3 linked regions of the Oryctolagus cuniculus genome follow. The protein of the gene in region 3 interacts with the protein of the main gene of each other region in a pairwise test. Links are inferred from orthologs where the notes say so. Each region holds a gene or a part of one and is shown on either strand. Other genes may lie near its edges.

Evidence for each region. The genes of interacting proteins can lie anywhere in the genome.
Region 1: the proteins of TLE1 (region 3) and FOXA2 interact in a two-hybrid assay, tested with the Homo sapiens proteins (2 studies listed by BioGRID and IntAct). The link is inferred for Oryctolagus cuniculus from reciprocal best matches to the Homo sapiens genes TLE1 and FOXA2.
Region 2: the proteins of TLE1 (region 3) and HES6 interact in binary tests that used the Homo sapiens proteins (3 or more experiments, as listed by UniProt). The link is inferred for Oryctolagus cuniculus from reciprocal best matches to the Homo sapiens genes TLE1 and HES6.

What each region holds. Positions count from the first base shown.
Region 1 is NC_091442.1:46,966,096-46,970,298, forward strand, and holds the start of FOXA2 (hepatocyte nuclear factor 3-beta), read right to left. Parts: upstream 2,801-4,203; 5' UTR 2,786-2,800; coding exon 2,699-2,785; intron 1,687-2,698; coding exon 358-1,686; 3' UTR 1-357. UniProt on the Homo sapiens protein: Transcription factor that is involved in embryonic development, establishment of tissue-specific gene expression and regulation of gene expression in differentiated tissues.
Region 2 is NC_091434.1:2,165,875-2,169,158, reverse strand, and holds HES6 (transcription cofactor HES-6), read right to left. Parts: upstream 2,109-3,284; 5' UTR 1,998-2,108; coding exon 1,917-1,997; intron 1,841-1,916; coding exon 1,754-1,840; intron 1,673-1,753; coding exon 1,591-1,672; intron 1,418-1,590; coding exon 993-1,417; 3' UTR 501-992; downstream 1-500. UniProt on the Homo sapiens protein: Does not bind DNA itself but suppresses both HES1-mediated N box-dependent transcriptional repression and binding of HES1 to E box sequences.
Region 3 is NC_091432.1:148,610,649-148,614,148, reverse strand, and holds part of TLE1 (transducin-like enhancer protein 1), read right to left. Parts: coding exon 3,426-3,500; intron 2,831-3,425; coding exon 2,729-2,830; intron 2,392-2,728; coding exon 2,201-2,391; intron 144-2,200; coding exon 67-143; intron 1-66. UniProt on the Homo sapiens protein: Transcriptional corepressor that binds to a number of transcription factors. Inhibits NF-kappa-B-regulated gene expression. Inhibits the transcriptional activation mediated by FOXA2, and by CTNNB1 and TCF family members in Wnt signaling.

The sequences.
Region 1 (4,203 bases), on a different chromosome or scaffold from region 3:
ACAAAAGGTCAGAACTGGCAGGTGCTTCCAAAACCAGGAGTCTACACAGCAGTGAAACCGGAGGCTTTCTTTTATCTTCTTCCTTTGTTTCTTTTCTCTTTCTTTCTTTCTTTTTCTGAATTTATATTTCTTCCTCTTTCCCTCGCTATATAGAACGACAGGTTTCAATGTGATCTTTCCAGGAGAGAAGGGCTTGCCTTGGGGGGGGGGATGTCACGGATCTCTCCACCCTTGCATCTCTCCAAGCCCCCCTGCTAAAGTCTGCACAGCCACTTCCTCCTCTTTCTCTCTCTCTCTCTCTCTCTCTGGTCTGTGTCCCAGGCTTGTCTGAGCCAGTCGGGCCTGAAGCCACCTTCTTTAAGAAGAGTTCATGATGGGCCGAGAATACACCCCCTGGTAGTAGGAGGTCTCTGCGGCGAGGGGCGAGGCGTCCAGGCCCGCTTTGTTCGTAACGGGCCCCATGGCCAAGCTGCCGGGCATGGGCGACCCGTAGCCGGGATAGTGCATCACCTGTTCATAGGCCTTGAGGTCCATTTTGTGGGACTGGTGGTGGCTGTGGTGGCTGTGGTGGTGCTGTTGCTCCGAAGACATGAGATTGTTGATGGAGAAGGGGTGGTTGAAGGCGTAGTGGTGCTCCGGCTTGAGGTGAGCCTCGGGGGGCAGGCCCGGGTGGTGGGGCGGGCCCAACAGGTGGGCCGCGGCCGCCTGCTGCTGCTGCTGCTGCCCGGGCGAGGGTGCCGGCTCCGGGGGACTCAGCGCCGCCCCGGCCGCCGACCCCTTCAGCTCCCCCAGCGCCACGCGCTTGTGCTCCTGGCACGGCGAGGCGCTCGAGTGAGGCGACTCGGTGCCCGCTGGGGTGTCCGGGGCTGGCCCGGCCACCTCCCCGAGCTGAGCCTGTGAGGCTTGCGCGCCCACCGCCGCCGCCTTCTTGCCGCCGGCCCCAGCGCCAGGGGCTCCGGCCTCCTTGAGCGCCAGCTGCTTCTCGCACTTGAAGCGCTTCTGGCGGCGCAGGTAGCAGCCGTTCTCGAACATGTTGCCCGAGTCCGGGTGCAGGGTCCAGAAAGAGCCCTTGCCGGGCTTATCCGGCGAGCGGGGCACCTTGAGGAAGCAGTCGTTGAAGGAGAGCGAGTGGCGGATGGAGTTTTGCCAGCGCTGCTGGTTCTGCCGGTAGAAGGGGAAGAGGTCCATGATCCATTGATAGATCTCGCTCAGCGTCAGCATCTTGTTGGGGCTCTGCTGGATGGCCATGGTGATGAGCGAGATGTACGAGTAGGGTGGCTTGGCGTGCGTGTAGCTGCGCCGGTAGGTCTTGGGGTCGCGCGCGCGGCTCAGGCCCGCCTGCCCATACATGGGGCTCATGGAGTTCATGTTGGCGTACGGGCCCAGGCCGCCCATGGCGCCCGCCGCCTGGCCCCCGAGCGGGCTCAGGCTGGGGCTCAGGTGCGGCCCCATGCCCGCCACGCCCGCGGCCCCGGCCGAGCCGCCCATGCCCGCCATGGCGCCCGCGCCGGGGGACATGCCCGCCAGGGACGGGCTCATGCCCGCGCCCACGTACGACGACATGTTCATAGAGCCCGCACCCATGTTGCCGGAGCCGCTGCCCATGGCGGCCGCCGACATGCTCATGTACGTGTTCATGCCGTTCATGCCCAAGCCGGCGTTCATGTTGCTCACCGAGGAGTAACCCTGCAAACAGAGCCCGCGGAGGGAGAAGGGGGCGACAGAGTTAGCACCGCGGCTGTGGGGTGCCCGCACCTCCCCGAGCCCCGCCGCCCTAGCCGGCCCGGGTCCCGCGCCTCCTCCGGGGGAGGCCTTCCCTGCTGGGGGGGTACGCCTGTATTTGGACATCGAGGCCTTTTTACCCCGAGCGAGCTCTGATCGCTTTTTGGGGAGATGCCCGGTGAGCTGTTGCTCTGGGCACGAAACTGAAGCTTCCTAGCCTGTCTGCGCCTAGCGTACGGGGATCCCCGGAGCACCCCAAAGCCGAGCACTCTGGATGCACCTCCCCTGCCCGCAGTCCCCTTCTAAACTCTCCTGCCAGCATGCTGAGCCGGCGCCCCGGCTGAGGGTCTCCGGACGACACATCCTGCCCCGGCAAGCCACCTTTGGGACACCAGGCGGAGACTGACCCAGGGTCTCCTCCATCGGGCGCTCCTCCCCGACCCCCTCCCCAGCCCCTGGGGAGCTGAAACACGAGCCAGCGCCTAGCCCGGACGCAGAGCGGGACATCGCCCCGAGGAACAGCGCAGGAGCCGCGCGCGCTGGGGACACCACAAACTCCCCGCGGCCGGGCTCGGCAGTCGCAAACTTTTCTTTCGCCTCCTTCGCCCGCTGCTCTGCCGCTGCCTCCACCTCACCCCCCAGCTCCTGCCCACCACCTTCCCCTCTTCAGCTCCCCACCCCTCCCCAGCCGCGCGCTGCCAAACAGAACTGTGTTAGGAGAGTGCGTGGCTCGGCCACGAAGAGGATTTGGAGGCGCCGCAAGTCAATATTTGATCACAAAGTTAATATTATCTCAAGGCTAACAGTGTGTCGTATAAAAAAGAGACCCATTTGAGTCGAAGGAGGGAGGTAAAGGCGGCCGCCCGGAAAGGCTGGGGTGGGGGGGCGGGAGCCCGCGAGGGGAGCGGTCCCGAGGCGGGCGCGGGGCGAGCGCCGCCCGCCGCCCCACTCTCCCCCGGGCGAGGCGAGCGCTTACCTCGGGTTCGGCGTAGTAGCTACTCCAGTCGGACGGCTCGTGCCCTTCCATCTTCACAGCTCCCAGCATACTGGAAGCCGAGTGCATGGCAGTTTAAAATTTAACAGCCACAACAAACGACCGGCGATCACCCCCCACCCCCACCCTCTTTAAAAAAAAAAAAAAAAAAGTCAGCCGAGGCACCGTCCCCTCCCTCCCTCCGCCCTCCTCGCGCTCGCTCGCTCGCTCTCGGCTCCACTCCCTCTCGCGCCGGCCGGCCGGAGGCGGTGGCTGGAAGTGGGCGGGAGGAGGGGGCGGAGGAGCGCAGGAGGCCCAGGCCGGGGCCCGGCTGTCGGGAGCGCCCGCCGCCCGCGCCCCGCTCTCGGGCTGCCGGGTGGCGGCTGATGCTGGCAGTGCCGAGCTGCCCCGAGGCGGCGGGAAGCGCGCAGCGCAGGGGTGGGTGGGGGAGGGGGGAAGAGGAGGAAGAGGAGGAGGAGGAGGAGGAGGTGCGGACCGCGGAGCGGACAAGTGCCGCAGTGACGTGGGCGGCTGGTGATATAGCGCGGCGCGCTGGCGCGGGCCTCCAATCCCCAGACCCGGGGCAGCCCATTTGAATAATCAGCTCACACCTAGGTGAGAGGGAGCCTCGGCCCGCGCGCCCCGCACCTGCCCCTCCGCGCCCCGCACTCGGAGAGAGCGAGCGTGGGGCGAGGGGGGTGTCAGGCAAGCCGGCCGGCTGGCCGGCACCCGGATCCAGCCAGCCTCCTGCCCTCCCGGCTCCGGACGGTGTCCCCCCCCCCAACCCACACACACCCCCACCTCGCGGTGGGAAGAGGGACCCGCAAAGAGGCCAACCTCGGGAGCGGCTCCGGCCCAGGACCCCCGCCCCGTCCCAGAGCGCCAGGCTCACGGCGCCTGTGTCCAGGACACGCGTCCGGCCGCCGCGCCCCGCAGAGCCGGATTCAAGCCGGATTTATTTTTCCCGGGGTTCTTCAGTGCTGAAAGCAAGCAGCGGGCAAAGCGCCGTCGTATTCAGAAAACCTGTGTACACACCTCGAACTCTGCCGCCGCTGCTCCGGGAGGCCCCTCCCGGGACCGTCACAGCCGAGCCCCGCGGTGGCTGCGGAAGGCGCACGGGGCGCGCATGGTCCGGCGGCCGCAGCCCCGGCCCGCGCCTCCTCCGGGCTCAGCCGCCAGCCGCCCACAGTGGGGACAGCCGGGCGCAGCCCCGCTGGCTGCAGCCGACGGTTGGGAGGCTATGATTTGTCTCTGACATTCAGGCCCGCGCCTTTCAAGGTTACTTTTCAGCCACTACCGAGGTGCTCGCAACGTTTCGTAACTAAAACAAACAGGGCGGCGGGGGAGGACAGACTGGAGTCCAGGAATCAAAAGTGACTTCCGGAGGGTCTCTGTCCGTCCTCCCAGCATTCCGGGGGGCTGCTCTGTAAGAAACTCCAGCAACCCAAACGCCTGGATTGTCTTCCCTGGGCACTTGGGCTCAGCCTGGTCGCCTGTCCTGCGCCAGC
Region 2 (3,284 bases), on a different chromosome or scaffold from region 3:
CTGGAAGCTCATCAACTGCAGAACGGTGGCGTCCCCATCCCTGTCACCCTGGAGACAAGCCCCCTGCCAGTGGAATCCTCTGGGGGCACACCATTTCCAGGAGGCGTGGCCTGGCCTGAGGACCTGCCCAGCCACAGCGGAGGCCAGCCAGCAAGCGTCCATCTCCATTGCTCATTTTGCTGACAGAAGGTGAGGATGAGAGAGAGAGAGAGAGACAGACACCGCCCTTCCATCCAGTGGTTCATTCCCCAAATGGCTGCAACGGCCAGGGCTAGGCCAGGCCAAAGACGAGAGCCTGGAAGTCCATCCTGGTTTCCCACGTGAATGCCCGGGCCCAAGGACTGGGCCATCTCCTGCTGCTCTCCCGGGGAGCTGGACCGGAAGTGGGGCACCACCAGGGCGACCCCCGGAGCCGAGGTGTTAAACGCATCAGTACTCCAGCTGCAGGACAGGATGTGCCGAGGTCACCACGCACACGTCGCAGCATTAACGACACATCATTCAGGTTTCTTCAAGGCCGTCGTACTGCGAAACTCTTTATTTAATGCGTCTGGGAACATGTGACCGCACCCTGACACAGAAACTCAAGTGTGCTACCGCAAGACGTTCAGAACGTCTCGCGTCTCTGGCACTGCTGCAGGTGCCCCTGCCCGGGACACGAGGGCTCAGCAGCACCGGCCGCCTCTGCCCTCACTCCCCGCCCAGCACCTGAGACTGCTGGCAGAGGTGCACACGGAAGAGGGTGGAGCTCTGGCTGGGTCTTCCTCCTGCCTGGAGCTCCCCCCTCCACCACCCCTGAGCACAAAGAGGCTCCCTCCAGGAACAGGGCCCGGGGCCTGGCTGGGCCGTCACCTGGTGCTGGCCAGCCAGCTACCCACTGGAGGAGGGCGGCCGACTGGGAGACCCCTCGGGCCCTGCCCCACCACGTGGGACCCCCAGGGTGGCGGGCGTGCAGCTGGGAAGGCCTGGCCCCTGGTTCCGGGCCAGCACAGTCACCAGGGCCGCCAGACGCTCTGGGCCATTCGGGCTGCAGTGAGGCCGCCCAAGGCTGCAGGCACCAAGTGCAGCCGCTCCCCAGGCGCCCGACTCAAATCAGCCTCGGAGGCCTCCTCAAGGTCGGAGCCCAGGTCGTCCCCGGGACCTGGGGGGCTGGGCAGTGGGGACCCCGGGGACGCCCCTGCGGCCCAGCCGCCCCGCCCAGGGGCTCCCGGCGGTCCCGCCAGGGCGCCCCCCAGCAGGTCTCGGAAGCTGCTGCCCTCGCGCAGGGGCATGGACTCCAGCAGGTGGTTCAGGAGCTGGGCGGCGACGGTGGCGTCAATGGCCTGGCACGTGGACACGAAGGTGTGCACCTCGTGCATACACTGGATGTAGCCGGCGGCGAAGCGCTCGCTGGCTTCCGCCCGCAGCTGCTCGCGCTCTGCGCCCGAGAGAGGGGAGGAGAGAGCCGTGCCCGGCACGGTGAGCGGCGACTCCCCTGGCCCACGGGTCCCCCCCTCCGTGGACCCCGGGGAGGGCCCTGGGCGCCGAGCGGACGGGGGAGGTCACCCCTCCCGGGGAGGGGCGGCCCGGGCCAGCGCGCCCCGCACTCACCGCGCGCCCGGCCCCGCAGCGCTCCCTGCACGCGCCGCACGGTCAGCTCCAGCACCTCGGCGTTCTCCAGCTTGGCCTGCACCTGCGCCGTCGGGGAGCGCGTGAGGCCGGCGCGCGCCCCGCAGCCCGCCCCGCAGCCCGCCCCCGCGCCCGCCGGCCGCACCTCGGCGCCCGCCAGCAGCAGCCGCAGCTCCTGCAGGCTCTCGTTGATCCGCGCGCGCCGCTTCTTCTCCACCAGGGGCTTCCGGGCCTGCGGGAAGCGGGCCCCTGAGCCCCGGCCCCGGGCGGCCTCCCCCCGCCCGCCCGCCCGCGCCTCCGGCCCGCACCTTGCGGTCCCCACGAGCCTCCCCGCTGTCTTCGTGCTCCCGGCCCGTACGGTCCCGGCCGGGGGCCAGGGACGGGGCCATGGCCGCCCCGCCACGAGTGCGGCGAGGGCTGCGGGCGGTGGGCGCCGGCTCCTCGAGGCCCCGCGGCAGCCCTCGCCGTCGCGCGTCTTCCGGCCGCCGGCCGCCCCGCCCCTTTTATAGAGGCTCATTTGCATGTCAATGCGCCGATTGGCGGAGCGGGCGCGGCGCTGCGGGCCGCGAGGCGCGCCGCAGCCAATGGGAGCGGCGCGCTTTGTGCGGTCCCGCGGCCCGGGCGGCGAGCAGCTGGCAGGGCGGGGCCCCTCGCGCAGCGCCGTCGCGACCCCCGCGGGGGCGGCCCCCAGGACCGCGGCCCCGGCCGCGCTGGTCGCTTCCTTCGCCGCGTTAGGGCGCGGGTCTGCGTGCGTGCGTGCGGGGACTCCTCCGTGGTCCGCCTGGCTCTCTCCTCCGGACCGGGAGGGGACGTCGCATCCGGCCAGGGTGCCTCTGCGCTCCGGGGAGGTGGGGCAGCCTCATCCCGACACCAGGCTCGCCCCGCAACGCCCACCCTCGGTTGGCCCCAGCATCCTGGTGGGGCGGGGTCCGCCAGCGCTGTCGCCTGCCTGTTCCTCCTCGCGCTCCCCTTGCCCCGCCACCCGCTCTGAGCGCTCCCACCCTCGGTGGTCCCCTCGCCCCCAGTTCCCCGTAGCCCTCCTTTTCCTTCGCCTCCCCCTGCTCCGACGCCTCCTTCGCTGGGCCGCACCCCCGGGCTCTCCTTCCCGGCCCCTCCCTGAGCTCCAGCCCCCCAACCCGTCATGCACCGCCCCACCTCCCCACGGTGCCCCCCGCCCCGGGCCCCCGCCCCACCTCCCTACGGTGCCCCGCGCCCCGCCGCGCCGCCGTCTGGCCCCGTAACTTGATGCCCGTGACAGTTGGCAGCTGCAGCCGCGCCAAGAGCGACAGGTGTCGGCCGCGCCTTTGTCTCCGCCCGCTTTGTGCGGCCGGCAGGCGCTTGCTCGGGGCGGCCAGACGCCCGCCACCCCCCCACCGCGGCCGCCCATCTGCCGGCCCTGCCGAGCCCAGCTCCTGCTCCACCGCCCGGCTGCCTGCGCCGCCCCGCAGAGCCGGAACGCCCCCCTTCCGCCCCCAGCCGCAGGCCTGCCACGCACCACTTGCCCTGTGCAGGGTGCTGAGCCCTCCAGGCTGCCGGTGCCAGACCACGGACCCTCTGTCCACATTCCTGCACCTGCAGAGCAGAGCCGGACCCCGCGGAGGTGCTGGGTGCTAGGGAATGGGAGGGGGTGTGTGCCCGGGGTGGGGGGCACGGCTGTGCCCAGGGCCTCTCCCAGG
Region 3 (3,500 bases):
TGCCAACCCCCACGACTGAGACACTGCCTTTGAAACCATCGACAAGTCACGCCCAGAGGTACTTACGGTTTTCCCCCGGGGATTCCCGCCAGGTTTGGAGGGATGGTGGGGACTCTCATGTGAGGGGGCGGATCAAAGCCAACCTGGAAACAAAAACAAGGCAGGTCTGACTCGGTCTGTGCAGGGCATGCATTCTGGGAACATCAATAAAGGCTTGTCATTAGAAACTCATACACCGGAAATATAAACCAGAACGGCAATGTGTCCTAGCGTTAAAAAAAAAAAAAAAAAAAAAACCACCAGAAGTAACATAAACAGCCCTAAATACTACAAGATACACATCTTCTGGGGGAGGCAAAGAAGTGTGTGATCTATGTGTGTGCTGAGAACCAGCTCCCCACGCCAGGCTGAAGATGTTTTGCTTTGCCTAAGTAAGTTCAGAGAACAATATGTGGTCTAGGGGCCAGCTCAGGCTGCGGTCAGTCAAGCTGCCAACTGAGACACCGGCATCGCACATCACAGTGCCAGCTGGAGTCCCGGCTGCTCCCTCTGGATCCAGCTCCCTGCTAACATCCTGGGAAGACAGCAGAGGATGACCCGAGTGCTTCAGTCCCTGTCACCCACATGGGAGACCCAGTTGGAATTCTAGGTTCCTGGCCTCACTCTGGCCAAGCCCCAGCCGTTTCAGCCATTTGAGGAGTGAGCCAGCAGATAGAAGATCTTTCTATCTCTCCCTCTGCCTTTCAAAAAAAAAGAAAAAAAGTCCAAGTGATTCCTCAAGTATGGCACCACAGATACTCAGGACCAGCCTGTTTTTTTCTCTCCTGAGGCTATCTTGACGTAATGAACATTGAAGAATGTCTACCAGTATCGGAGGTCTCGACCTCCTAAGTGCCAGTAGCTTCCCCTAGTTCTGATCATTAAAAATGTCTTAAATACTGGGTGCTGAAACACAGCCAGATGGAAATAGCATGTCATATTAGTCCTCAGCCTAGTGGTGTGACAGTAGTTCACAGTAATGCGTCACATACTGTACAAGAATTGGAAGACAGACAGCTGGTGAAGGAAATGGAAAGTCTAGTTGCTTGGTTTGGTTCACCCTGTGTGTTTTAAAACATTGCACTGTGACCCATTACAAAGTACAAGTATTGCATTTATCACTATCAACACCTGTTTTTTAAATACGTTTTTTAAAAGCCTCCATATGTCTCCAGGACAAACATCCTGATCTAAACCAGTGCTCAAGGACTCATACACAGATCCCCACCCTCTCCTTTTTCTTCTGGATTCCCGTTTTGTGCACCTTCCTGACAGTATGTGGGTCCTCAAGCCCATCTTACTGACTTCTCTACCCTGCAGTGCATAGTCTTTCCCATAAGTACAACACAAGGGAAAGACAATGAACTTTAATAGGATCTTAAACTATCAGTGGTAATGCTGTTTGAAGAAGCAAAAGGAGAGAATAATCTGCAACACAGTTCAAATAGTCAAGAGAAACAGGACTGTGGGTGATAACACAGTCTCTTTACCTGATGCAATCAATGGTTACACAATTTTAGTCTTCAAATGCGGTTTTGTAACTTCTTGGTCAAAAAGTGGGCCAGGTGCACTGTGGCAGAAGGAAGACAAGGGAAGGCCCACCCCTCCGGCCCCCTGTGGTTTCACAGTCTGTCTGTCTTTCCATCTGTTGTCCAGAGAGCACTTCTCAAATGTAAGCCACTTTACGGAGTTTAAAGTATAATACAATACAGGCATGAGAAGAGAAAGCTGTGGCTTCTCAAATATTTTCTCCTAAGGTTTAAAATGAGGAGAGAAAGAAAAAAAAGAGCTCAAGACAAAAAATGTAAAAGGCTTCTGTGAGCCACTTGAGTCATTTCATCGCCTTTGAATAAAAAACCAGCTTTGGTGGGAGAAAACCAGGTGTCCCTCAAACTACTGAAGGAGCTAAACACGGCTGTTTTTTCATCCACAAAAACAGAAAAACAAAAGGCGTTTGGGCCCAACTCAACGAAGCAGCATGAGATATCGGCTTGACGAGGGGACAGCCCAGATGTGAGGCTGCAACACTGGGTGGCTTTGTTCTTAAGGTGTGTGGTGCCACGGCACCTGCCCATGGAGCATGTGTGCAGCCTGGGCCTGGGCACGCTCAGGGAAGCAAACAGCTGGTCCACCCCACCCATGGCACCCCACAGCAGCCTACCATGGGGGAGCGCCCGTAGGCCACCACAGCGGCCGCGGCGGCTGCAGCACTCATCTGTGGAGACATGTTGTGTAAACTGGCGTAAGCTGCCCCGGGGCTGGTCAGCTCGCCGTTCATGCCGGCATGGGGCACCATCCCGAAGGGAGCAGGGTACGGGCCAGGCACCGCCAGGGGCGTCCTCAAACCGGCTGCTGAAAGGAAACAAAAGCCACGTGTGACTCAAGGGACCTGCTGTGGTAGATCCTGCCCTGAGATTCCAGTGTCATTTGTCAGTGCCATTCATTAGGGAAAAGGAGCAAGAGGAATGGCCTCTGAGAGGGGGAAATCACCTTCAATTTATACACTGGGTCCATTTTCCCCAGGGTCGAATTCATCTCCAGCAAAGACAAGACACCCGTGGACAGGATGCACACCCCACACATTTTCTCATTGGTGTATGTGGACCCAGTGAGGAACCAGGGGAATTAAGCAGCATTATTGCACCCAATTTACAGAGGGCAAACCAAGCCACAGGCACTAAGTGTTTACCTGACTTAATCTCAAAAGAAGATTTTCTCGATAAAATCCAAGATTTCTCCTTCAGTCCGAACTTTCCATTCCCTGGTACCAATTCCAATTGAAAACCAAATCCTGCATTTATGTAAACCAAAGCAGGGTTTAGGAGGCATATCCTGGTGCCTGTTTTCCTTTGGGCCAGCCTGTTGCTTTCTTCCTTTCCCAGTGAGGAAGATGGAGTTCAAAGTGACAGGTTTATTCATGGGCTACAAGTCTTAGCAAAGCCCTCTCTGCTTCTAAGACAGGAGAGACCCAGGAGTCTCTGCAGGATACACCAAATGCAAAAGCAGCCAGTGCCATCGGCAGGAATACACATGGGCCAGACACACTGGCTGTTGTAGTTACTATCAGCAAAGTGAGACATTTAATGAGAGCTTGGTAAGGAGCTTCTGTTCGGAATAATTATCAGAAACGTTACTGATGTCTCTCCAATTTGGACTTCTTGGAAGACAAAGGAAATCTGAGAGCAAACCACCAGAGACCAACCAGGGTGCCTCTGCACAAGACCAAGGACGAGCATTTCTTACCATTTTCAGACATGGGAATGAAGGTGGCCCTAAGTGCCTTTTCTATTTGTGGGGACACGGCCTCCAGAGATTAACAGACAACAACGAAACCAAGCCAGGAGAGGGAGAAACTAAACCCAGCATAAGAAGAGGCAACGCTCTACCCGCTTGGTTGACAAGGGGCTCCATGGCTGGAGGCTTGCCAAGGCCTGGACGGAGTCCTGGAGTGGCACTGGTGC